Linked DNA regions of Xenopus tropicalis. The protein of the gene in region 3 interacts with the protein of the main gene of each other region in a biochemical or structural test. Links are inferred from orthologs where the notes say so. Each region holds a gene or a part of one and is shown on either strand. Other genes may lie near its edges.

What was found.
Region 1: the proteins of hif1a (region 3) and sp1 form a complex in vitro, tested with the Homo sapiens proteins (2 studies listed by BioGRID). The link is inferred for Xenopus tropicalis from reciprocal best matches to the Homo sapiens genes HIF1A and SP1.
Region 2: the proteins of hif1a (region 3) and egln3 form a complex in vitro, tested with the Homo sapiens proteins (5 studies listed by BioGRID, with this or other methods). The link is inferred for Xenopus tropicalis from reciprocal best matches to the Homo sapiens genes HIF1A and EGLN3.
Region 4: the proteins of hif1a (region 3) and epo form a complex in vitro, tested with the Homo sapiens proteins (2 studies listed by BioGRID). The link is inferred for Xenopus tropicalis from reciprocal best matches to the Homo sapiens genes HIF1A and EPO.
Region 5: the proteins of hif1a (region 3) and rack1 form a complex in vitro, tested with the Homo sapiens proteins (2 studies listed by BioGRID). The link is inferred for Xenopus tropicalis from reciprocal best matches to the Homo sapiens genes HIF1A and RACK1.
Region 6: of the proteins of hif1a (region 3) and usp20, one has a biochemical effect on the other in vitro, tested with the Homo sapiens proteins (2 studies listed by BioGRID and IntAct, with this or other methods). The link is inferred for Xenopus tropicalis from reciprocal best matches to the Homo sapiens genes HIF1A and USP20.
Region 7: the proteins of hif1a (region 3) and fhl2 form a complex in vitro, tested with the Homo sapiens proteins (2 studies listed by BioGRID). The link is inferred for Xenopus tropicalis from reciprocal best matches to the Homo sapiens genes HIF1A and FHL2.

What each region holds. Positions count from the first base shown.
Region 1 is NC_030678.2:146,984,287-146,988,422, forward strand, and holds the start of sp1 (transcription factor Sp1), read right to left. Parts: upstream 2,801-4,136; 5' UTR 2,752-2,800; coding exon 2,745-2,751; intron 2,438-2,744; exon of another isoform or gene 2,090-2,437; coding exon of another isoform or gene 1,990-2,089; intron 1,663-1,989; coding exon of another isoform or gene 1,660-1,662; coding exon 1,580-1,659; intron 1-1,579. UniProt on the Homo sapiens protein: Transcription factor that can activate or repress transcription in response to physiological and pathological stimuli.
Region 2 is NC_030684.2:113,846,467-113,850,676, forward strand, and holds the start of egln3 (egl nine homolog 3), read right to left. Parts: upstream 2,801-4,210; 5' UTR 2,360-2,800; coding exon 1,967-2,359; intron 731-1,966; coding exon 611-730; intron 1-610. UniProt on the Homo sapiens protein: Prolyl hydroxylase that mediates hydroxylation of proline residues in target proteins, such as PKM, TELO2, ATF4 and HIF1A. Target proteins are preferentially recognized via a LXXLAP motif.
Region 3 is NC_030684.2:101,960,627-101,963,873, reverse strand, and holds part of hif1a (hypoxia-inducible factor 1-alpha), read left to right. Parts: intron 1-266; coding exon 267-389; intron 390-1,846; coding exon 1,847-2,208; intron 2,209-2,477; coding exon 2,478-2,586; intron 2,587-3,247.
Region 4 is NC_030679.2:152,067,892-152,071,961, reverse strand, and holds the start of epo (erythropoietin), read left to right. Parts: upstream 1-1,270; 5' UTR 1,271-1,835; coding exon 1,836-1,848; intron 1,849-4,070. UniProt on the Homo sapiens protein: Hormone involved in the regulation of erythrocyte proliferation and differentiation and the maintenance of a physiological level of circulating erythrocyte mass.
Region 5 is NC_030684.2:71,557,606-71,561,715, forward strand, and holds the start of rack1 (receptor of activated protein C kinase 1), read right to left. Parts: upstream 2,801-4,110; 5' UTR 2,732-2,800; coding exon 2,623-2,731; exon of another isoform or gene 2,495-2,622; intron 2,136-2,494; exon of another isoform or gene 2,041-2,135; intron 1,866-2,040; coding exon 1,694-1,865; intron 1,330-1,693; coding exon 1,182-1,329; intron 996-1,181; coding exon 900-995; intron 1-899. UniProt on the Homo sapiens protein: Scaffolding protein involved in the recruitment, assembly and/or regulation of a variety of signaling molecules. Interacts with a wide variety of proteins and plays a role in many cellular processes.
Region 6 is NC_030684.2:22,450,482-22,453,981, reverse strand, and holds part of usp20 (ubiquitin carboxyl-terminal hydrolase 20), read right to left. Parts: intron 3,069-3,500; coding exon 2,888-3,068; intron 2,781-2,887; coding exon 2,654-2,780; intron 2,544-2,653; coding exon 2,374-2,543; intron 1,774-2,373; coding exon 1,692-1,773; intron 1,520-1,691; coding exon 1,411-1,519; intron 1,165-1,410; coding exon 1,062-1,164; intron 153-1,061; coding exon 81-152; intron 1-80.
Region 7 is NC_030678.2:111,709,604-111,713,103, reverse strand, and holds part of fhl2 (four and a half LIM domains protein 2), read left to right. Parts: intron 1-2,807; 5' UTR 2,808-2,830; coding exon 2,831-2,986; intron 2,987-3,500. UniProt on the Homo sapiens protein: May function as a molecular transmitter linking various signaling pathways to transcriptional regulation. Negatively regulates the transcriptional repressor E4F1 and may function in cell growth.

The DNA.
Region 1 (4,136 bases), on a different chromosome or scaffold from region 3:
CACACAGAAAGATGGTAGAAAGAGTGACCACCTTACAGGAGAAGGCAGGCCAATGCACCATATGCTACGTGTGGCATTAGCCTTAGCTTACCCCAATGTTAGTGAGAGAGGTAATGGTGCAGGTGGGTCATTGCCCAGGCATGTTAGTGTGCATTCCCAGGAAAAACACACAGTATTACTTATTTTACATTAAAATAATAAATATAATGGAAAGTCAATAATGGAAGAAAATTTGTTGTCAAAAAAAAAAAAAACAAACAGCTTTGAATGGGACCTATTACCCTGAATGCATGGACCTAGGTTTAAGGGATTTGAGTAATTTGCATCACTATACAAAACACAAAAGAATTGTTTTGCCCCAGATTTATGCAGCTAAGATACTATCGATTACAAGCTACTGTTTTATTACAGAGAAAAGGGAAATCATTTTTATAAATTAGTATTATTAGCATAATATCACATCGAATTGCTTTCCCCACATCCTGGTGCAGGCTAATAGAGCCCGCACTCTGGTTGGGGGAAACACACACACATATAATATATATATATATGTGTGTGTGTGTGTGCTGCTCCTACGTCACACATTTGCGCACAATGAGTGAGGAGTCTTGCTCATTATGCACATGCACGCTAAATAACATGGCCGCCCGTGGGGGCTGTTTAAAAAAAAAAACCTATTGTTTTCCAGAATGCGGGCTCTAAAGCCTACACCTCTGGTGGCGGGAAGAAACTAAATGGTGATAGGTGCCCTTTAAACTTAGTTCTATGATGGTCTGCAAGCAATTTAGAGCTTTCTGGATAAGGGATTCTATAGCTGTAGCACTCTATTACATATACATGGTTCAGCGTTGGGAAGATATCCAACATCATCAGTTGGGGGCGCCACCTCCTGCGATGGCCTAAGACAGCACAAGCTGCAGAGATAACCATGCCTAGGTGGGTGTTGGTACAAAGACAGTACTACCCACAATGGAATAAACTGGGTGTGTGCTGTAAGTGATATTTTATTGTTGCACAATAGCAAAAATAACACTCAGTGAAATTTAGTGGAGCATTGCCTTTCCAGCCTTTGCTACAAATCTGAGCAGATTTAACCCTAACTGCCATTTACACTCGGCCCCCACCAGCCGAAGCAGCAGATGCAGTTGCTGAATTTAATTAAAAATGTAGCTGCCAATAAGATGCAAGACTGAACGTGAATGTCAATTTAACCCTTCTACGGCTATGTCCTAGGTGCCATTTGCAGTATTAGCAACAGCACAAAGAGTGCCAGCATGTAAACAAACCAGCATGTCAAGGAGACAGCCAGAGAGAGAACAGGAGGGACAGGGCTGGGGGGAAGGGTTTCTGGGGCCTGCCCCAAGTGGGCAGTCAGGAACAGGGGGTGGGAGGTTTGCCAGCCAAAGGGTGGGAGGACAGCAGCCATTCTCAAAGAGAAAGGAGGAAAAAAAAAAAGGCCTCAGCCCCCCTCCCCCATGCTCATCCAGTGTACAGGCAGCCAAGGCGAGAGGGCTGGATAGTTCCCAGGCATGGTCCCTGCCTATCTGTGTATAATGCAATATGGGTGGGTTCCGCTTACCTGCCCCTTCTGGATGTATCCACCTCCTGTCCGGTTTTCGGACTTTATCGTAGGCATGTCATCGGACGTGTGCTCCTGATCTGCTGTCAGCGAAGGGCACAAGCACAGAGAGAGAGTGTGTGAGTGAGGGCAGTGAGTAAACATGCACACACAGGCTTACAACATGGCCGGCCCTACTTCCCTGAGAAACACAAACCCCTCAGCTTAGAAACAGACTGCTGAACTACAACTCTCACAAACCTCTCAATACTGGAAGTGAAGAGACTCACAAACATGTTTCCCATCTATCAGCCTAGATAGCCTTAGCAGCACTGTTGTGGAACTACAACTCCCACAACCCTCTGTAGAGGAGTACGTTCTAGAAGTAAAATGATTTACAAATAAATATAAATGGTCTACATAGGCTTCACCTGCGAGTAATGGCAACTCCAGAGGCAAACTACAACTCCCAGCGGCCCCGTTCAGCAGGTTAATGAAGGGATCTACCGGATGAAGGTCCCTCCCATCCATACGATGTCAGTGAAACTGCCCGAGCTGAGGGCGGATAATGGTTTCAGGGGAACTACAGATACCCCACAGCTACGGATACTGGGAGTGTTTGGGCGCCAGAGGGGCAGATATCCCCAGTGTGAGGCAAGGATTGCTCTGGGCAGGGGGGGCTACAGAAGGAGGGCCGCAGGCTTCACATTATAGGCGAAGGCAACGGGTTCCGGGGAACATTTTAGGGTCACGTATTGCCCTTTCCCTGTGTCACGAAAAGTACCGGCTACCATGCTAGGAGGGGCGGGGGGCAATTTTACAATTCTACCCCACCCACCGAAGGGGGCAGAAAAACAGGGCGGGAGAGGAGGACAGCAGGGAGGGGTTCTACCGCCACAACCACCTCTCCAGTTATAGGGAAAAGTAAAAAGGGGGCGAGGAAGGAGAACGAACGAAGTAGTGAGGGCGGATATGACTTTATTTCTACACCCCCGCCTCCTCCTCCGGTGGTACCGGCCGCTCTCAGCATTCCGCCAGCGAGTCATGGCGCGCAGCAAAAAGCCCACAAAGTGGCCAGGGGGAGCGATCCCTCACACAAGCTGCGTGCGAGCAAGCCAGGAGGGGCTCTGGGATAAGCTTGCGAACCCGCGTTACCTCCCGCCCTTATGCCCACTCTCCTGCTTACCGCTCATGTTGTTTCTGGGGCCGTAGGTACTTCACACAAACCTCGGCTGACGATGGCAACCTAACCTGGCTGCCGCGCGGCGGAGACGGTGAGTAGGCGGGGCTACGGGCGGAGATCGACAGACCGCCTAACCACTCCCGCCGAGGGGCGGCTCCACCCGCCCAATGGGGTGGCGCGGTGGGTGCAGTTAGCTGGAGACTGACAGAGAAGGCTGACCAATTAGAGGTGGAGTGACCCCGCCCAGCCACGGAGGCGGTGTGTGATGGGGGAGGGAGATGAAAGAATGTGGCGGGGGTGGTGGCTCTCTAGTCTGAACCCTTCCCAAGGTTAGAGTGACACTGAAAAGGGCCAATCATAATCGAACGAAGTCCAAGGCGTTTCATTAAGTGACGAATCATACGAGAAAAGCAAGCAATTGAAGAGCTGTGTGAGGAGGGGAAGGGAAATTAAAGTTTGACTGGTCGTTGTAGGGTTTGGGCGCCATTTGCTGGAATTGCAGAATGTCGCTCTTTAATTATTTAGAATAACTGGCCACAGCTATTAAAGTATTCGTTTTTATTCGGCATCAGCCTACGTGCAAATAGGAAGCAAGATGGCAGCAGTCGGAGTTGCGACTGAGTGGCTACGTGACTAAAGGGGCCGCATTATCTGTAATACAGAGAGGGAATGATGGACGGGTCGTGCATAGAAAATAGCAGGTTTAGAATAAATATCAGAGTTACAACAATAAAAAAAAGTGACATAGGTTACATAAAGCCGAGCACAATATATAAGGCTTATTTTCTTTATTGGGCCACTTCTTCCAAATTGATATCAATAATTATTAAGCAGCCAGTCCAGTAAAGCATTGTCAGTCCTATCATTAATAGAAATATATTGCTCAATAAAAAATGAATGCCTTTTCTTGAGAAAACAGTCCTGGCTGTATTTATTAGATTGTAAGGGCTCTGGCACACGGGGAGATTAGTCGCCCGCGACAAAACTCCCTGTTCGCGGGCGACTAATCTCCCCGAGTTGCCTTCCCCTGCAAATCGGCGAAAAAGCCTCGCGAGGCAACTTCGGCGATTTGTGCTAAATCGCGCCGCCGCGTGTGCCATCCCACCGGCGACTTACATTTTCGCCGGTGGGATGGCAGGGGAAGGCAGCTCGGGGAAATTAGTCGCCCGCGAACAGGAAGTTTTGTCGTGGGCGACTAATCTCCCCATGTGCCAGAGCCCTAAAGGTGTAACTGAGTCCATCACCATTAAGCTTCCATTTTATAGTACAGTTTGCTGATGCTTCCATGTAGCTCAATTCCCATATTGCTTGAGGCAAAACGACATAGGGGCACATTTACAAAAGCGTGAACACTCCGAGCGTATTTTCGCCGATTTTTTCGGGCGTCCGCACGAC
Region 2 (4,210 bases), about 12 Mb from region 3:
ACACCAAAGAACAGGTTGGCAGATAAATGAAAACACTTAGTGCAGACAGTTTGCAATGTGTAGTTCAGCTACGGTAAGGCTAATTCCCGTTTGATAGTAGCAGTAATCTATGGATGCTTTAGGTAGCAAAGGGGGCAAAATAATATCCATAAAGCCTGGATTACACAGATGATTATATGCGTGTGACCTAATCTGCAGCTACTGAACATAAAGAAAAAATGCCAATGAGGAAACCAGTTTGTGCCAGCTATGAATATCTGTAGGCCACATACAGACCTGCAGCTGACACAGCACGTTTCAGTACATATAGCGGCGACTGCAATGTTCCAGCAGATTGTTAGTGTTCTGTCACAGCCAATATCAGTAAATCTGTTATACATTCCTATGGTTGATCTGTGGCTGCACCACACTGTAAACTGAGAGGCCATCTGCCTGGTGGTCAGTACTAACACAATACACCACATGTCAACCACTGTGTAACCACTCATTTGTGTATTCCTTGTGAGAGCCACACTACACACTAAAGATATGAGCGCCATGACCAACTGCAACAGTCACAGCTCATCACCAGGGTATACGAGGTCTAAAAGAATTTAGAGGAACGTCTTACCTTTGCATCCCAGTCTTTGTTCAGGTAATAAATGCAGGTGATACAACGTCCGTCTCCCGTTGGATTGTCCACATGGCGCACATATCCAGCACCGTTGCCAGGATAACATGCTACCATGGCCTGAGAAGTGAATAGGCACGGATTAACATTTCTCAGTAAATAGATATACAGCAGTGAATTGACATAAATACCAGTACATGGCAGCACATGCAATGCATTAGTATTGTCACAATTGCGACTTTTACTGAATTCATGTGGGCGGCTCAATAACAAATGCAGACCTAAATAAAGGGTATCAGTGTTCCCTAAAATGTTGTCATTCAGGAGTTGCTTGTGCAAAAACTATGTTTAACCCCCATCAGTGACAAAACGTTCACAGGGATAAATATCCATAGCTGGCTTTGACTTGTAAGTGACTGCCAACACCAGAGAGCTGTGGCACTGGAGGGGTTAATGCAAGATGTACGTGCAGACCATAAGGTAGTTGGGCACGCCCCTAACCCCACCCCAGTCCTGGTAAACAGGGCTCTAAGGCCTGCTGTCACACATTTCTCTAGGACCCTACAGCAAATGCTAAATTAAAGGGCCAAGTTGCATATCAAGAAATCATAAAATAAATTGGTTGAATGGGGTCAATAGGATGTTTCTCTATTTCCGTGCCCATACCTGACCACAGCTGTGATGGAATTCCACATGTCACCGACTCTTATATAAGGGTACATGGAACAAATGGAACGAATAAGACTTGGCAAGGGATGAGAAGAGAATAGGGGCCTGTGGTTTATTGTATTTTTTTTTTTTTTTTTTTATTAAAATGGAAATTTCAGTTTTTAGGACATGCAAGCAAGCTAATACGTGGCATATGCTGAAGGTGCAGGGTGGAGGCATACAAAGCCATATGTTTTGTGTAACTAAAGGTTAAAAAAACAGCTTAACACAGCCAGTAGGATTGGGTTCCATTTGGAGCACAGTCTGTTGGCGGAGGGGGGGATACAGCCAACTGATCACAATGTAAATTCTACCAGTAGATCCTCTTGTTGGGGGATTGAAACAGGTCCATGCATGGCTTCTCTGCATGTCTGAGTATCTCAGGTAGGTCATACCCCTACCTTAAGAGCATTCCAGCAACAGACGGAGCAGGAGGCTTTGTGCGCCCTTTTATTGAGATCTGCTACCTCTGATAAATTCAGGGGCAGGAGCCTTGAAATGTGGGATTTCTAAAATGTTGCAATGTGAAATAATCTACACTACTACCTGCTCAGTCGGTATGCTGGCCTTAGGCTTCACTGTTAGTCCCCAGCTTATAAAGGGGGGAAGCCTAAGACCAAACACAGGAAAAGATGCAGAGAGCCTCACCTTGGACCTTTCTTTCACATAGTATTGGCCAAGTCGGTTGCCACAGAGCATCACCAGTCGGTCAATAACTGACAAAACCAGTCCGATGGCCTCGCATCCTTCTTCTGTCCCGGCGACCCAAGCAATCTTGTCACCTCTCAGGTGTTTCTTGGAGACTCCTTGCAGGTGCCCGGCCAGCTGCCCATCCTTCAGCGCCCCGTCCTGGTACAATCGCCTGACTTTCTCCAGCACACGGTTCCCTATCTCCTCCCCTAGGAAGTTGTCCAAATAGCAGTATCCAGAGGCGAGCAAGCGAGGCACGACCCGCTCCAGCGCCAGCTTCTCCAGGTCCAGAGCTGGGCTGTGCATGAGGGGCATGTCCGAGAACACTACTGGGGGAGATCCTGGTGGCATAGGGGACTCAGGACCTCCAACAGGGACTTGCACAGCAAAACTGAGAAAAAGAGAGCAAAGTGAAATAAAAGGCACCTACAGCCAAGCTGGCAGCCCAGCAATGAGGGGCCACAGTGCCCAGATGCAGGGTGAGCAGCTCCACTCTATGAGGTGCCTATATGCTCGCATACAGTGGAAATACTCTGCCCCCTAGTAACTGGAAGGGCTCAGTCTTGTCCCTATGGGGGTATAAACAGGCAGCAGTGACTGGGCTGTACATAAGCAGCAGCAGCTTCACCCCCCCTATCCCACACACCTATAGTATAGCCCCGGCCGGCGGTGTGAGCACTCCGTGCGAGTATGAGAGTGAGGCACAGGAATATGTGTGTATATTTATATTGCCCAGTCCCTGCCCCCGCCGCTGCCGCTAATACCTCTCTCTCTCTACGTGCGGGATGAGTTGTTTCCACTCTCTGGGCGTGGCTTCCTATGCGGTTTCAAACCCCAGCAGTTCAGCCCTGCCGCTCTCTACCAATCACTGCCGTGCATGGGCGGGGCCCGCAGCGCACAGGGGGTGGGAATAGAAAACACGTGCGAGGTGGACACACGGAACTGAGAGCCGATTGGCTAGCTTTGCCTGGAGGCGGCTTCCGGTAGCTAGGAGACGGCGTTTTGAGGCGTGCCGCCCGCCATTGAGGAATCTGAGCTGAGCATGTAGCCTGTTACTGGAGAGTGCTGAGTGTAGTAAACACAGGAGGGGAGGGGGAGAGAAGTGGACGGGGGGCGAAGGAGGAAATGGAGAGGGTGGTGGAAAAAAAGGGAAGGCATGGGTATAAATATGTATGGTGTGGCAAGCGTCGGCAAAATAAGGTAGTGGGTTGTACGAGAGAGAGGGGCAACATGTAGTTTGTGGCTAAACTACAAGCGTCTATTTCAGCCGCCTGTCTGATGGGGGCTGATGGGATATGTAGTTAAACCACAATGTATGGGACTAGGAAGTAATTATGAAATATGCCAATTGCTAGATACTGTAGTTGGTGGGGTTGTTGGCACCTGGCTGGTAATGATATTTGATGCCAATGGTATTAAAAGAAAACAATATGTGAACATTGTTGATGAAATATATATGTTTATATATATCGAACCAAGGGAGGCACACCGCTTCAATCCTTGTCCCGGGTGTACGGTAAAAGAGTTTAAATATTGAGAAAAAGACCAGCAACACTGCATCTATTGCAAACAATCAATTATATATTGAAAAATACATGAAAATATATGTTTATATATTTATATAATATAATTGTAAGCATTGCCCCTGGGATCATGCTATTCACAGTGACACAAACAAGCCAAGGCACACATACACATTAGGCCCCATCAGCCAATGAATGGGCACAGTTCTGTCTTTTACTCCCAAACTTCTTCCTGTTACAGTTAACGCTGCATTGTTTCCTGTCAGGTGATATGTGAGACCGCAGACCATCACAAAATGGTGGGTCAAGGGAAAAGACCTAAAAGAGCAATATTCACTGATATACATATATATTTCAGTAAGGTAAGATTCTTTAATAGGCCACTTATGTGATATAAACTATCTGTTGGTTATGCTTTTATATTGGGGATGTAGTTTTCCTTTAATAAAGATGATGTCCATTTTTTTTCCAGAAAAAGTGACAAGCGTAAAAGTGGGCAAAATGGCATACAAAAAAAAGCTTGCATCCAGTATTCTAGTGGTGTGTGCCAATTTGCCCATTACACCTACTTTGGTGCAGCGTGCGCTGGTGCAAGGGATATCTATACAGACTGTAAGTGCAAGGCTTAGCTGGCATGTTGCAACCATAGCACCATGCAGTCGTATGTCTGTGTATTGCC
Region 3 (3,247 bases):
TTACATGGAGTGTGATCTTCTAAATTATCTCCCTTGGACTGTGCAGTCACAGAGGGCAGAAAGGGATAATTTAGTCTTCGTCTCTTTCCATGCGTGCTTCAACTGGGTTTTTGCAGATAATTTTCAGCAGAAGTGCCTAAATTTTACTTCTGTTTATCATCATACTAACGGAGCATTTTAAATGCACCGGTTTACTGTTAAAGCAGGTCTTTATTGAGTCGTAAGTGGATTTACAGGCAAATAATTTTGTCTCTTTCTCCCTGTAGCCTAGTACACCTCCAGAATATTGCTTTGATGTTGACAGCGAAATTGCAAGCGAGTTCAAGCTGGATTTGGTGGAAAAACTGTTTGCAATAGACACAGAGGCAAAAGCACCATTTTCTACCCAGGTTTGTGATTCATAAGTACTTGTTTTCTCTACATTGCATTAGTCAATTAAAAAATGCAGTTATAAGTAGAGTAAATATGATTAAACCTTTCACCATCATCACAAGCAAAAAAGTGTGAAAAAAAGATTGAAAGCCATTTTAAGTGGGGAGATACAGGGAGGGTTCATGTCCCTTGGGCAAATGGCTAAAAGGTTTTAGACAAGGTGACATGGATATACAGAAGAATTTTTTTTTTTTGTGAGGCATCTTACAACTATGTATTAGGTGAGGGTCAGGGTGGATTGAAGAGCCGCTCAGAATACACATATGAGGGCTGGTAGAAGAAAGGACTCATGTACTGTGCAGCTTGAAGATTCCAGACATCAGACGGTGCTGCACAGCTTACTCAGGGCTCCTGCTCTTCTACAGTGTGCTTGCTGGTGAGTGTTCTTTTGGCGCAATAAAATGTTTGTGTGCATATCTGATGTATGGAAGAGCATATACAGTTGTATGAATGTATTGTTTTTATGTACTGTGCATTTATTCTTTAATGCATGTACAATGCAAAAAGCTTATGCAAAAAGCTTATTTATATGCTTGTGTAGCCTGTAGCCATTGCTTTTGGAGGTTACATTACTTACATCTTCCAGGTGTCCCTCTTCAGACTTATATTCGCACACACGCACTAGAGAAAACCCAAAGTAAGTCTCTGCTAGGGATGCCTGGGAAAGGTAAGAAAATTGGCGGCGTAGTTTTGCATTAGTTTTATTACCAAGCCATTGCATTTTTTTCTTAAGAGATGGGGGTGGGAGCCTAACATGTTGGTACCCCCAGCGATTCTAGGTTTCTATATCCTTTAAGGCTACTACATACAATTACATTTTTTTTCTTGCAGCTTCATGGCAGTCCTTTGGGAAAGGGTTTTTTTTTTATGTTTGTGCATTCTAATAAACCCATGCACAAAACAAGGTCCGTATAGAATTGGACTGCCTAAATGTGAGTGGAAGAACTGCAGTGGAATGAATTAGGACACCAGCTGCTAGCCAGACCTGATGCCCATTTTCAGTGTTCAGTCTCACTTATGCTCTTGTAGTTGAATGGAAGTAAATCTGAACCAACAGTGCTTCATGACCTAATAGAAAGGGAGGGCCAATGTCATATTAATACCCTTGCAGGTACCTGGTTACTACTGGCAATATAGTGTGCCTGTTTCCAGGTACCATCTCATGTATGTTGTTATTTTTCTTTTTGTTTGCTTTGCCTTTAGAATAGCCAAGTATCCTTTTTGTTTTTGTTGATTTTTTCAGTGTATTTAGATTTTTATATAAGTTCAGTTGTGTAAGATGTCTGTATAGCTACTGCTACTGTATTGCTATTGTAACTGAGTGCCGTGCTTTATATACTCCTTTACATTTGAACCTGTTACTGCACCTTGTTTGATATAATTATTCTCATTAATATGCATATAACTCTTACAGGAAACAGACTTGGACTTGGAGATGTTGGCACCATATATTCCTATGGATGATGACTTCCAATTGCGAACCTTTGACCAACTTTCATCTTTGGAATGTGATTCATCAAATCCACAAACCTTAGGAAGCATGGCCACTCTATTTCAGCAGTCTCTTTTACCATCCTCCAGTGATTTCAAGCCTGAGGATGCCATAAATGATCTGAAAACCATTATTCAGTCACCTGTCCATAGTGCTCCAGCATCACCATTTGATGGAAACAGAAGCCGCACAAGTTCACCAGTAAGGCCAGCCAAATCAGCAGTAGATAAAACTGAAGTGTCTCGTCCAGGAACTCCAAATTTACCTGTTCAGTTAAAGAAAAGGTATTTAATCTTTTATATAAATCAGTAACTTCAAAATGTTCACTTAAAGTTCACGTTTTAATGAATTTGCCACATAAATTCACTAGTAAGAACCTATAAATGATGTCAGGATGGGTAGCTGAAAACAGAAGGGTGGTTGTTTGAGGAATTGGAGGTTTGTGTATTAGTGCACCAGCCTATTCCTCTAGTCAGATACCTGTACTGTGTTCTGTGCTCCGGAAATGTATTGTGCTTGCACCACTGAGTTATGCCATGCTGTTTATTCTCAGGTGTACAGTTTTGGATGAAGAATTGAATCCAAAGATGGTTGCTTTACACAATGTTCAGAGAAAACGTAAAATGGAAAGCGATGGCCCTCTTTACCAGGCTATTGGAATTGTAAGTTTGACAATCTTAATGTATAATAAACAAATAATGGAACAATTCTCAATCATTTTTTTTCTCAATTATTTTTTCAATTTAATGGTTATTGAAAGCATTTTTTGTTTATCCCTGAGTCTGACTCTTAAAACGATTTAACAAAAGTCAGATCTGCTCTAGGTTAATCAGCTGGCTTGCAACATTGTTTCAGGAGTCAGAGCCAGGAGAGCAGAAAGTGCAAACATTAAGACAAACACTGCTTTCAGTTGTAATACCTGTGTGCGGGTTGACCATTTGCACCCACCCACGAATATACCTCTACTTATATAACTGTGCCCAGCCCATTCCTGATGCCATGGAGGCAGACGTGCACCTATTAAAAAAAAAAAAAAAAAAAAAAAAAAGCCTGAACCTGCCTGCGACCAGAATATGCTGTGCGAGTGTTGGCCTGAAAGTGGCTGACCCGCAGATTTCAGGCCAGCCCACACATCACTACTGAGTGTGTACAAATCAGTTTGGCATTTTAAGAGAGTCCTAAGGGGAAAGGTGGTTAGGGAAGTGGTACTGCAACTGTTATGGGCCTATTTAACAATTTAGGAGTTTGTGAATTTGAGTTTGTTTTTCGAAATCAAACAAACTTGCATATCGAATGTTCGTTATTAATATTGAAAAATTTGTT
Region 4 (4,070 bases), on a different chromosome or scaffold from region 3:
ATATCCAGCTGGGGGCTGGGTCAGTGACACCCGGGGGGGTTCTATTTACTTGTACTGCTGTCAGTTCAAGTATGTTCCCTGGCACCGAATGCCAATCTGTCACGAGTTCCAACCTGTGGGGCACTGCTTGCAACTTGCTCAGTCCCCTTCCACTCACCAACAAAGACGTTCTTCAACCCACCCCCCCGAGAAATCCAAATACCACTGCCCTATACTGTCTGTCAGTCTATCTCTCTCAATATATCTATCGTCATCTATTAATCTTTCTATCAATCTATCTGTAAATCAATCTCTACCTATCTCACTATATCAATCTCTCTCTCTCTCTATATATCTATCTCACTATTTCTTTCTCTCTCTCTACATATGTATATATATATGTCTCACTATATATATCTATCTCTCTGCCTGTCTATCTATCAATCATCTATTATCTACCTCTCTATTATCTATCTGTCAGTCTATCTATCAATCATCTATCTACCATCTCTCTATTATCTATCTATGTATCTGCCTATATATCTTTCTGTTATCTATCTGACTGCCCAGCTGCAGGTGTATATAACACGGGGAGGCTAATGTGCCAGTGTGTGTGCCAGCCTGACTGCCCAGCTGCAGGTGTATATAACACGGGGAGGCTAATGTGCCAGTGTGTGTGCCAGTCAGCCTGACTGCCCAGCTGCAGGTGTATATAACACGGGGAGGCTAATGTGCCAGTGTGTGTGCCAGTCAGCCTGACTGCCCAGCTGCAGGTGTATATAACACAGGGAGGCTAATGTGCCAGTGTGTGTGCCAGTCAGCCTGACTGCCCAGCTGCAGGTGTATATAACACGGGGAGGCTAATGTGCCAGTGTGTGTGCCAGCCTGACTGCCCAGCTGCAGGTGTATATAACACGGGGAGGCTAATGTGCCAGTGTGTGTGCCAGCCTGACTGCCCAGCTGCAGGTGTATATAACACGGGGAGGCTAATGTGCCAGTGTGTGTGCCAGTCAGCCTGGCTGCCCAGCTGCAGGTGTATATAACACGGGGAGGCTAATGTGCCAGTGTGTGTGCCAGTCAGCCTGGCTGCCCAGCTGCAGGTGTATATAACACGGGGAGGCTAATGTGCCAGTGTGTGTGTGTGCCAGCCTGGCTGCCCAGCTGCAGGTGTATATAACACGGGGAGGCTAATGTGCCAGTGTGTGTGCCAGTCAGCCTGACTGCCCAGCTGCAGGTGTATATAACACGGGGAGGCTAATGTGCCAGTGTGTGTGCCAGCCTGGCTGCCCAGCTGCAGGTGTATATAACACGGGGAGGCTAATGTGCCAGTGTGTGTGCCAGTCAGCCTGGCTGCCCAGCTGAGGATGTGAGTGTATAGCAGGCGCTACGGTGGATGCGGTGGAAGCGTGTGTGGCTGACGTGATAAGTTTCCCATTGTCTCCTTCCGCCAGGAAGGCTTTTTCGTGAGGAAGGCAAATCAGGAAGTCCCCCTTTCCCGTGCTCTGTCACAGTGAAATATGAATTGGACACGGCTGAAACGCACAGCTCCCTGCAAGCCTTTCTGCTGCTTCCAATCTGCTGGTGAAACATTAACTGCGGCTGTCTGTCCCACATGGCTCTCTCCCCATCAAGCCCCACAAACCTGAGGCTCGCCTAATTCCCATGCAATGCCCCTGGGCTCCTGCTGGGGTGCAGCTACCTTGCATTGTGGGGGCGCCGAGTGAACTTGCGGGCGTCTGAGCCAAACTGGAGTTCTACCGGCCGGGCACCATCCTCTTTGCTTCACTTTGGATTATTGGACAGTTGCCATTTAATGCCATGGAAAATGCAAGTCCCCTATATTTGAAGATTTGGATATGGGTGTGACTGGTAGGTAATTATTCCTGTTTGTTAAATGCACATCAGTGGGAATTGGATCTGATGGGTCAGTACCGGGACGATTGTTATGTCCCTGCAAGATCACCTTACAGCTGAGCCAGTTGCATGTAGGGACGCAGTACAGAGGGACAGTATATAGCATGCACTAATGTGGCTACCGAAGGGCAGGATTTGGCTAACAATAAGCACAGGGAGTAGTGTTCCATAACTTGGCACATACCTGCTGCACCTGCACCACTGCTAGCCCATATATCCTTCCCTAGGCTCAGGAACTGACACACACGCAGCTACTTACTGCTGCCTGCCCCCCAACTGCCAGCCCATATAACCTTCCCTAGGCTCAGGAACTGACACACACGCAGCTACTTACTGCTGCCTGCCCCCCAACTGCTAGCCCATATACCCTTCCCTAGGCTCAGGAACTCACACACACGCAGCTACTTACTGCTGCCTGCCCCCCAACTGCCAGCCCATATACCCTTCCCTAGGCTCAGAAACTCACACAAACGGCACTACTGACAGCTGCCTGCCCCCAACTGCCAGCCCATATACTCTTCCCTAGGCTCAGAAACTCACACAAACGGCACTACTGACAGCTGCCTGCCCCCAACTACTGGCCCCCTGCCCCAACTACTAGCCCCCTGCCCAAACTACTAGCCTCCTGCCCAAACTACTAGCCCCCTGCCCAAACTACTAGCCTCCTGCCCCAACTACTAGCCCCCTGCCTCAACTACTAGATGGGTATCAGGGGAGAGATACTCAGTACCGTTATACAGAGAAAGAGATGGGTATAAGGGGAGAGATACTCAGTACCGTTATACAGAGAGGGGAGAGATACTCAGTACCGTTATACAGAGAGGGGAGAGATACTCAGTACCTTTATACAGAGAGGGGAGAGATACTCAGTACCGTTATACAGAGAGGGGAGAAACTCAGTACCGTTATACAGAGAGGGGAGATACTCAGTACCGTTATACAGAGAGGGGAGATACTCAGTACCGTTATACAGAGAGGGGAGAGATACTCAGTACCGTTATACAGAGAGAGGAGAGATACTCAGTACCGTTATACAGAGAGGGGAGAGATACTCAGTACCGTTATATAGAGACAGAGATGGGTATAAGGGGAGAGATACTCAGTACCGTTATACAGAGACAGAGATGGGTATAAGGGGAGAGATACTCAGTACCGTTATACAGAGGGGGGAGAGATACTCAGTACCGTTATACAGAGAGGGGAGAGATACTCAGCACCGTTATACAGAGAGGGGAGAGATACTCAGTACCGTTATACAGAGAGGGGAGATACTCAGTACCGTTATACAGAGAGGGGAGAGATACTCAGGACTGTTATACAGAGAGGGGAGAGATACTCAGTACCGTTATACAGAGACAGAGATGGGTATCAGGGGAGAGATACTCAGTACCGTTATACAGAGGGGGGAGAGATACTCAGTACCGTTATACAGAGAGGGGAGAGATACTCAGTACCGTTATACAGAGAGGGGAGAGATACTCAGTACCGTTATACAGAGAGGGGAGGGATACTCAGTACCGTTATACAGAGAGGGGAGAGATACTCAGGACTGTTATACAGAAAGGGGAGAGATACTCATTACCGTTATACAGAGAGGGGAGAGATACTCAGGACTGTTATACAGAGAGGGGAGAGATACTCAGTACTGTTATACAGAGAGGGGAGAGATACTCAGTACTGTTATACAGAGAGGGGAGAGATACTCAGTACCATTATACAGAGAGGGGAGAGATACTCAGTACTGTTATACAGAGAGGGGAGAGATACTCAGTACCGTTATACAGAGACAGAGATGGGTATCAGGGGAGAGATACTCAGTACCGTTATACAGAGAGGGGAGAGATACTCAGGACTGTTATACAGAGAGGGGAGAGATACTCAGTACTGTTATACAGAGAGGGGAGAGATACTCAGTACTGTTATACAGAGAGGGGAGAGATACTCAGTACCATTATACAGAGAGGGGAGAGATACTCAGTACTGTTATACAGAGAGGGGAGAGATACTCAGTACCGTTATACAGAGACAGAGATGGGTATCAGGGGAGAGATACTCAGTACCGTTATACAGAGACAGAGATGGGTATCAGGAGAGAGATACTCAGTACCGTTATACAGAGACAGAGATGGGTATCAGGGGAGAGATACTCAGTACCGTTATACAGAGACAGAGATGGG
Region 5 (4,110 bases), about 30 Mb from region 3:
TAAACAACCTGTACCATATGGTATTCTTAAAAAGGTGCAAGAGGATACTGGCCATGACTTGGTAGGGTAGTTTGGCCAATTTTGACCATATGGGCCTACTTTGTGTGCCTATATAGCCAATACAAAAGGATGGGGGGGGGGGGGGGGGGAAGATAAATAATTCCATGATTCTGGTAGATCAAGGATCAGCAGTCCTCATGGCCAATTTCCAGTCAGCCAGAAGGGAAGCAGCAACTCTGCAATTTGTCTAATTTGTTCAGTGTCGACACTGAATAGAAAAAAAAGCCACACATGTACTGCCACTACAATATTCATTCATCACTCAAATGCTGTGTCTGGTAGGCCCATGTATGGGGGCTGAAAGCAGAGCTGCAAGATTAACTACAGAAGTAGGGCATAATTATTTTTACATTATGTGTTTTGCGCTTTTGTAACAGCCCTAGGAAATCATAGCCCTTTAGAAGTAATGTGCCCCAGTAGCTTCCCATCTTTTCTGATGATTCACTGCACATGTTCTGTTCTGTTCTGTTTCCCGAGCTTAGAACTATTGACAGGCTAGAAAATTTGCGACAACCCCTAGACTTAGCATCTCAACTGCACACTGAGCACGAGTGTCACCGACACTAATAAAATCCAAGATGGGGAGTTCCCGTGACAACTGCAGAAGACCTGAACATTCAGTATATAAAAGTGGGCATCTCTAGCCACTTATTTTCAGGGCTTAGTTCTTAGTACTTGTTTAAGAGGGGTCAGTAGTGCACTATTTAAAGGGGGAGTGAAAACGCTTTAAAGCTGCTTAACACTTTACTTACCAAACAAGTATGCATTTAAAAAAAAAAAAAAAAAAAAAAAAAAAACTCTGAACCCGTATTAAGACTGGAGGCATCCAAAATACTCACCTTCACCATCTTGTCCCAGCCGCAGGATACAATGATGGGATTACTGCTGTTAGGGGAGAACCGGACACAGGACACCCATTCAGTATGTGATTCCTCCTAAGAAAGACAGCTTCATTAGTAAACAGCCTGCCAAAAGACCTAGAATGACTGTTTATTTGGTCCCTTCATAATTGCAGGAGTGTCATCCTGAAATTAGTGTGCCTATATTAGACACTCAGAATACAATTGTTCTAATCACGTGGACCAACAGAACTAAAATATAGTTATAACGCTCATACATACCTGCACAGTGTATTTACAAACGCCTAAAGTGTTCCACAGCTTGATTGTTTTGTCACGGGATCCAGACACAATTTGCCGGTTGTCAGCAGAGAAAGCGACACTCAGGACATCTTTGGTGTGTCCTACAAACCGGCGTGTGGTGGTGCCACTGCAGAGGGATATTTGACACGATGACAAAATGACAGTATCCATTCCCCTCAGAACACTCCTTTCTGTGCCACCCTGCAGGGGGAGGGACAGATTCATAGCTTCCCTCTACCTAGGTTACTATTTAACTGGTCCTTTGTCATATGCTTCCCCTGCAGGGATATTCTGGTCTGACAGTAAGTGGACTCAAATGATTCTTAATGCTAAAGTTAGTCCAGTCATTCCTTCTATCCAAGTAATAAGTCAAATTCTGTAGTACTGAAACCATGTCTAATTCCCTGCTGCTGATCAGTAACTTTTGCTGAACATTCTGAAAAGCAGCCATTTAACAGGCCAGGTAATGGAACAAGGATAAGTGTACTCACGTTGTAAGATCCCACAGTCTGAGTGTTCCATCCCAGGATCCTGAGAGAGCGAACTGCCCATCTGAAGAGATAACCACATCACTGACAAAGTGGGAGTGACCCCGGAGAGCACGTTGTGGAACCCCATAGTTTGTTTCATCACGAGTCAGCTTCCACATGATGACAGTCTTATCTGTGCAGAGAGGAAAAAAAAAAAAAAAAAAAAGTCAAAGGACATAAGAACACTATTGCTGATTTAAATAAGTGGTAACCTCAACTTCTATGCAGTAAACCTCCAACAAGGCAGTTCCACACAGGGGTAACCCTCCCAAAATAAACCATGCCATCACAGCGAAGCCATGCCATACCTTGTCATTGGTCTACGGTGTCTCATTTTATGTCTGTAAGCAGGTGAAGATGTTTTTCCTTTGCACAACCCAAACTGCCAGAAGAATGAGGTTATCTAGTATGCAAGAAAAATGAAGACATGAGATGTGCAAAGAAAAAACACTTCCACCACTGCTCATACAACTCTATGGCATTGTCAGCCTGCAAATTCTTCAGTACCAAGGGCTAAGGAACAAAGTTCTAGCAAACAATAGCTGCCACTATACATCATATATCGCTCACACCATAATTAAAAGGTAAGTTAGCCCGCAAAATCTACCACCATCTTTCCCTTGCTAATCAAAACGACAGATAAAGAAAAGCTTCATTATAGTTAGGACTTCCAATGACGCATAATGAATGAGGAGCCATTTTAGCCCCGATACAGTAACATATCACACAGCGACACTAAGTAGTTACAGCAATCACATTTACCAGGGCTGAAAAAAGCAACGTGTAAGCATTCATGCTCTTGTTCTAACGATAAACGGGGTCCCGGATACCGCAATGCATATAAACTTGCGTGGATCGATAGGCTACAGTAGGCGTCTCATGCATCTCACCTCTGGAAGAGCTGAGAATCATGTCCGGGAATTGTGGGGTAGTCGCGATTTGCGTGACCCAGCCATTATGGCCCTTTAGGGTCCCCCGAAGTGTCATTTGCTCAGTCATGGCTGCGATGAGTCCGAAACCGCTCCACCGGCAAAGGATGGAGACAGATGGTAGACACCGGGCCTAAAGCGACCGAAGAGAGGCTGAACTAGGCCTCGCCTCGCCTTTTATACAAAGCGGCGTCCTGACGTAAGCGCGCTGCGCCGCCTTGCGTCAGGACGCCTTTACCCGGATGCATTACTTGTTTACATCACCAGAAACGAGTTTCAACATGGCAGCGAGTTGCAGAATGTCGTACAGTGCAACTTAGGCTAAAAAATCGCGCTACTTTAAAATCTTTTAAAACAAGACAAAAAAAGAAAATATGAATGACAACGTGAATTCCAAGCATAGGTATAAGCGCTAGAACAGAATTGGCTATTAAATCAACTGGTGACTACTTTCCCTGTCAAATAGAGAAATCGCGGGGATAGGCTGACCGTACGCAGGCTAGTTTGCGTTCTGATTGTAGCACACGTGAGAGGGTTCCCATGCTTATATGACTGTGTGCTGGCGCCATATTGGTTGTGGAATGTTAGCTGCCGTAAGTGTGGAACACGCACATCTTGGATATATTGTTGTTTAAAACGTAACTATCATGAGGATACTGGGCGGCAGGCATAAGTAGTTTTTTTTTGTCATAAACAGGAAATAAAACATTAGAAACATTAAAAGTGCTTCAAAACATGCTTTACATGTATTATATTAGTCAGTGCCCCACTGGGTCTCTTTCACCACTGGGGAATCTCCTTTATAGAGTTATCTCTGTTTGTAGGGGTACCTTTTGGCATTATAGTCCACACCTTGCGCCCTGCTCCTTACTCCCCCACCTGAACTAGGGCAGGGACACTGCAGTATCTCCTGCACTGAACAATTTCCTTATAAAAAAAAAAAAATTCTGCTCTTTAAGCCACACGCAGCCTATGGCAAAGTTCTCACTATTTTTGATTGAACCAAACTGTAAACTGGGATTGAAACCACCATTAAAGGAGAACTATAGCCCCCAACAATGTAGGTCTCTACAAAAATATATTGCATAAGCAAGCTCATACGTAAAACCCTGCTTCATCTAAATAAACCATTTTCATAAAAATAGACATTTTTAGTAGTTTGTGCTATTGCGTAATCATAAATAGAAAATTGCCATTTTAAGAATTAAGGGCCACCCCCTGGGATCATAGGATTCACAGTGCACACAAACAAGCCAAGGCACACATACATGCTAGGCCCCATCAGCCAATGAATAGACAGGGTTCTGTCTTTAACTCCCACACTACTTCCTGTTACGGTTAGAGCTGGGCAATATTTACTGATATATATATATATTCCATTTTGGTGAGATTACTAGGTCACTTAAAATTATATAAACTATCTGTTGGTTAAGTATTCATTCTGGGGGT
Region 6 (3,500 bases), about 80 Mb from region 3:
CTGCAGACAAAGAAAAATAAGGACTTGGCAGGGAGTGAAAACGTTGCCCAAGGAGCCAAAGTCACAGGTGGCAGACGTACCCTGTTTTAGCTGTACTTGCCCGCTGCTCTTTGTCAACGCCACTTTGGAGTTATCAATGGGACCGGGAGGATCTAGGGAAAAAATACAGTGGTGCATTTACTTGGTTGGAACCAAAATAATTATTACAAGAAGGAAAAAAAAAAAAAGGCATAGGAAACCCAGAATCATTCATCACTGTAAAACCAACTGGCATCCCCTAATGAATAGGGGTTTCCTTGTCCTTGAAATGGACCACAGAAATGTCCCCTGATGTTCATGGACTACAACTCTCAGCAGGCTCTTGATTATCTGTTAAAGAATGCTGGGGATTTTAGCCAGTACCATCTGGGCACCCAAGGAAATGAACTAGGGCTCTAGTGGCTAATATAAATGGCTGCAAGAGTTACTCACATGCCTTCTATCAATGCTGCTGCCCTGCTTCTGTTCTGACCTAATCTGGGCTCTCAAACAGGAAGGCAGGACAGCCATGTGAATAGCTGGATATGAAATTCATTGGCTGGTGTAGGAAAACATGGCTCCCTTTATTTAAAGGGGTCATGTAAACCCCACTCCTGAGCCACAGTGAAATGTAAAAAGCAACGCAAGCATCATAAAAGTTCATGGAGGTGCCAAATAAGGGTTAAGATTGGCTATTAGGCAGGCTCTATGCACACTATTAGCTTACAGGGGGCTTTATTTGGTACATGTTGCCTCCAAGCCACTGGTTGGGGGATCACTGGTTTAGGGGTATAAATATTAGCTAGAAACAGTGAAAACAGTGAAAAGCAACAGCTCCACCTACTGGGCAGTACAGGTAATATGCATGCCCATATTTCTCTTTCCTACAGGTGTTGTACTGTACTGTCTCAGGGGTGTAGGGAGTTCCATACTAAGAATTCCTATGTACCCAGTAACAGGTCAGTCCTAGATCAGCCAGTATTTTAAGGAAGAAGGCTCTCATCCTTGGAAAGGCAGAATAGGAGGAAGCAACGTGAACTTACCACTGTCCTTGGCTTTAACAAAGGCTTCCCACTCCCGAAACCACTGCATGCTAATACAGTATATTACACTGGGGGCCTCTTCTGCTTGGAATGCCTTATTGAGCTGCAGGAGGAGCAAATGAAAGACGGTGTATGGAATTCTTCATATTTTTTGCTTATGCTAACTGCTAATTTAAACTGCATCTGGTATGTTCCAGAAGGAACAGCCCCCTAAATTTGCTCATAGCCTGTACAAAGAGATACCATAAAACTATGGCAGCATTGGGATTAGGCAGGATTGCTATGGAGTCACTATGGGATATTAATCCTATTTACTGTGCAAGTGAATTTCCTTTTGGTCTTAACTGACCTTAATGAAAGTGTCAATTTCTGTCTTTCTGCGTTTCGCCAAAGCCTCAATCTCCACCTGGCAGATTGAGCAGACATATAAGTGATTCACTGCGGGTCCTCCTCCAAACCTGAAGGGGTTAAAACATCGGAACAAATATAAGTGAATAGATAGGATGCACAGCATGGAAACATTGTCGGTCAAATTAAGATATTTAGTAAATATGGCAATAATGTACAATTCCAATAAGCTATGCCGATGCCAGATCCAACTGAGCAGATAGAGCACTGAGAGATATTTACCTGTTGTATAAATATTCCCATACACTCTGCGGGAGAATCACCACTAGATCATCAATATAATGATATTTGTTGGGGGGAATTCCTGCAAAACATAAAGACACCATGAGGTTTAATGAGTTCAGACCTTGGAACGTGGCCTCTTGGAACTGGGGGAAGCAATGGGGTTCCTAGGTGTGACTGCTATGTCCCTATTTGATTTGCCAAACAATCTCATTATTACCAATAGTGGGCACTTCTACACTTTTAGGAGATGGGAAATGTAACTGTAATGTTCCCCCAACCCACCATGCTCTGTGAAATCAACAACAGAGGGGCTGATCATTCTGGAGATGTGCACTCAGTGGCATTAGTTGGTTGCCCAGCAGGGTAAATAAAAGGCAAGAGAATTGTTTATGCTCCTGTATTACATTAGTGCCCTGCACAGCAATGGTGAAGGATGGGCAAAGAAATTAAGAATGGCATGACAGAGAGGGTAACAGAATGGCATTTGGGCATATAAGGGGTAGGAATGAGTGCATGGGGCGTGTTTTCTGCCAATAAAGTAGCACCCAAATCTGGTCATGCTGTCTGTCATTGGCAATAATATATCACAGCCAATGGCGGGCAGATTCAGGGGATCCCTTCTGCAAGGGATATTACTCCATGCCAGTATAAAACCACTGAAAGACCTGTGTATATTTACCTCCATGTGAACAGAGGAAACTTTGGTTGTTAATTGGTCCAGGTTCTGCGAATGTGTTGAACTTGTTAAGCCACTCACGGGAGATGTAGAACTGCAACAGGCCGGACTCTTTCATGGCTGCCAAGGACACCACCTTCTGCCGCTCCCGCTCTGCCTCCTCGCTGCTCTTCCTGGCGCCCCAAACAAGGGCAGAGAGTTACAAGCAAGCAAATGAATGAGGATAATGGGGATCTATGGATTACCCAACCTGCCTGTGGGGACCCAGTAACTCTTTCCTTACCTGTAGAAGAGAACATAGGCCTCTGCATTCTGAACCACCGTCTCATGGACCTCCGTGACGTACTGATCATCAAACTCATACCACTGTCCGTTGATCACATTCTGGCAGTAAGATATATAGTGCCCACCTATACAGTGCAAGGGCAGTGGGGGTGAATTAGTGTAGGTGGCTACAGTACTATACAATAAGTTACAGCTCCATAATGTACCCTTCACTGGCCTTAGCCATACTTACTGCTAGCGCTGCCATGGTGGCAGATAACAGCCAAGAGGTCGTAAGTGGTGATGCGAGAAACACATTCTTTAGCCAGGAAGGGCCTCAGATTAAGCCCCTCCAGAGGGAATGAGACGTGGCTGCCTATTTTGAAGGAGTACATGACTTCATGCCGGAAACGTTTCAGGTGAATGCACAGAATCTGCCAGGCAATGGGAGGGTAAGGGGGAATTAACATGGGAACACAAGGTGCCATAACATTAACAGATCCCATATTATTCTTGAGCAAAGGAAATATACGGGAGGCTGTGCCATGGTTCAGCAGACCACGGGGAAAGCCAAGGCATAGGGCGCTAATTTTTGTCATTATAGAAAATACATGGAAGCAGCACCACATACCATGCTACTATTTGGAGGGTAATATGGCTACTTAGAGGGGTAAATATGGGCACTGACCCCCACTTTCTTTTCAGCATCAAACCACTTTCTACACTGAGGTCTTAAACCAGCTACTCTCTACCTGTTGTTTGGCTACATCTCCCTGCATGATTTATACGGGCTGCGCTGGGTACTGGGAGTCCAATAATTGCCTTAGAGCTATGGGATTCCAATGAAACAGTAAAACCTTTGCATT
Region 7 (3,500 bases), on a different chromosome or scaffold from region 3:
CCGAGTCTCTCCTGGGGGGGCGGGGTGTCACCCTGTATTACTCCCTGCATGTGATTTTGCCATTACCACTTGCCTCAGAGAAGCTGTATTGTGAGTAAACCTAGTGGATGATCAATAAACACTTGTTATTTTGTTATTTGCAAGAATCTCTGGCACCCTCTGTTTTTATTTTTCTGTATAGCAGCAAGAGTGGTGTAGTAGTTTTTTCTGAAGCAAGTTATTATCGCTGTTCATTGCACCTTAGTAAATGGACGCCCTGAAAATAGGCCCTGAAATTCCAAGTACACGGAACTCCAAATACGCCCCACATAGGGTAGCCACCTCTGCCGGCTTTTTTTGCCAGGTAGGGGGTGGGTGGTGACATCACGGGGGTGGGGAAGAGGCAGGGCTGTGACTTTGCAGGGGCGGGAAAGAGGTGTGGCAGTAACATCGCTGGGTGGAGATATGTCAATCTTAGTGAGTCCTGTCCAGTTTTCCTTATTTGGAAATCCCGGGATGGAGGTTTTGACCTGGACAGCCCTTCCAAAAATAAGGCTGTCTGGGTCAAAACCAGACAGGTGGCAACCCTAGCCCCACAGTAGGGTTGCCAGATCACTTGGAAATTAAGTGACACATCTAGAAAATGTCAGTGGCAGTGACAGTGTGGAATGCCTGCAGCCAGAGATTGACAATGTGATAATGGGTGCCACAGTGAGTCATAAACTACTGTTCAAAATAATTTGCATGTACGCAGAGTGCGAATGGAGCTATAGACATACACTATGCCCAAAGTAGTTGCTGTTATGGGTTAGACACACTAGGGGGCACATTTATCAAAGTACGACAGGTACGAAATACATAAAATTCATATTTGGTCGTACTGTGCGTATTTTCTGTGACTTTTTCGTACTTTGCGCTTCTTTTTCGTGCATTTGCGCGACTTTTTCGTACTTTGCAACAAAATTTGTGCGACGAGTACGAAAGTTTCGGATTCATTCAAGCTTCAGTATCGTGACTTTCCTTGGGCCAGGTTGGAGCTGCAGAGTGCCATTGAGTCCTATGGGAGGCTTCCAAAATCATGCACAGAAGGATCAAAGTCAGAAAGGTTTTCCCGTTCGATACGAAAATTTTGTGACTTTCAGCCAATATGATATTATCGCGACTATTCCAATTTTTTTCGTAAGCATTTTCTTGGTATTTGCGATCATCCGAAATGATCGTATGTAATCCGAATTTTTCCCATCTCGGGATTCGAACTCGTACTTTGATGAATGTACCCCTAGGTGTAAAAAGAATGATATGCAAGTAGCATAGTGCAAAGCTTTTTTTTTTAATTTTTAAGGCAAGCGTTTTGCCGCAAATATATGCCATACGCCTGGTCTGACATTAGCCTAATATTACTTAGAGCTTGACTGCTAAGGGGGCATGGTTGCAGCATGTTTTTAAGTGCTTCAGATTAGTGCTAAATATTAGCACTGTGCATCCATAGTAAATGAACCCTGACAATATTTAAGACATAAAGGCGCAGGATGTCACTCCCCCCAACAGCATTTTTCCTCCCAAAGCTGCAGACATGTAGGTATTCCCATTTAGATTATATATTCTTCTGCAGCAGAAGAAAAATGTAAAACATTCCAAATGATTGCTGGTCTTAACCAAAAAGTTCAGTGTAAGCATATGGAACAATTGGCTTGTGTTATGTGCAGAGAAATTACTTTGATTAAATATACAGGCCTGCACAGGAAAAATATACACGAGCAAGATGGACTCTGTTTATTGACACAGGCGTTGGATAGCAGACTGCATGGCATCGTTTGGAACTAATTGAGAAATTGCCTAAGCAAAACTTACATTTGTGGTATGTAGCAGAGTTTTTTTATTCCCCAGTGATGACAAAGAAGTTTGTTTCTTGCTCTCAGCTGTATCAGTTTTTTTTATTTCAATAAAGACATGGGAAAATCCCATTTAGCTTGCTTGCCAAGGTGATTTCAGATGATTTTGCAACAGAAACACTGTACTCATATCTTAAAGAGAAATACAATAGAGGCTGTGCCTGCACTTAACAGAGCAAAACAGTGTTGAGGCCTGTTTCAGCACCTCTGTGGAATCTACAATAGGGTGATCAGATCACTTAAAAATTCAGGGACTTGTTGCAGGGCAGCATTGATTGCATTTGAATTAAACTGCAATTTTTTAGACGTGCCCCTGACTTTTCAAGTGATCTGGTCCCCCTATCTACAAGGTAATTCCTGGTTTTGGACTTTGGAATTTCCAGATAGGATGTCTTTTTTGTGACGTTGAGTACCATGCCTTAAGACTATTAAAGTATTTATACTTGAAAAAAACCCAACAGGATTGTTAAGCTATCAACATGGATTCTTCCTAGCTAAGTTAGCATCAAGATTTATTCCAGGGGAAAAGAACAAATCAGTTAAAACAGGACATCATTGGACATGGCAATTCTTTATTTTAGAGCTTTCTATATACCAGCTATATACCACTGTACACAGTGCCGGATTTATATCTTGGGCTGCAGTTTTCCCTTTGCCCACCCTTTTCCTTTAAGATTGCCAGGTGTGCATAGCCTATTGTGCATTCACTGGTTGAACTGTATCCCAGAATTTATTACCTGTCCACCAATAAAAACTTTCCTGCCTGTTGCAAATACAATTTACAATTTTTTTTATGTTTGAAAACCTAGTAGGTAAAGGTATGTGCTTCTAACTTACCACTGTGCAAAAATGTAAATATGTTGTATGTTGCTAGTGCAATATAAAAAAAAAACTAATTTCAAACATGACATTAACCATTTTTTTATTCTCAAAAAGGTTAAAAGAATTGTGGACTTAAAATGACTGAGCGCTTTGACTGCCACTACTGCAAGGAGTCTCTCTTTGGCAAAAAGTACCTGCTGAGGGAGGAGAATCCCTACTGTGTGAAGTGCTATGAGAGCCTATACTCTAACTCATGTGAGGAATGCAAGAAGCCAATAGGTTGTGATGGCAAGGTATGCTATATTTTCCTTTGGGTCATTGCCTGTATGGGCTAATTCAAGAAGATTTGGCATTTGTCTTTAGAAAGCTACACAATTGTTTCTAGTGAGATAATAGTCAAATAGCCAGCAAATTCAATGTTGAACCTCAGGCCCTATCTTCCCAATCAACTGCTGTGTGATAAGAAAGGGTGGATTTATCATAATTTTAAAAAATATTTTTTATTTTTCTGTCTGAATGTTTCTTGATTTTTTTATTCTTGGGTATGTATCATCTGTTGCTTTAACTTTCTCAAACAAAAACATTGTTCTCAAATTGCACAAAGTTCCTATAAACATTAAATTTTTAAAGAATTCTCAGCTATTTGGAATGATAGCAAGTGAACCATTGGTTTTGAATGGGTTTGTTGAAGTGCTAAGAGGACACAAGAACATTTGAATAGCTGAATATCTCAAAATCTCAATCTGTAGAATTTGTTTTTATTAAGAAAGACCTTCATTTTTCATATTTTCCTTTATTAAATGAGTC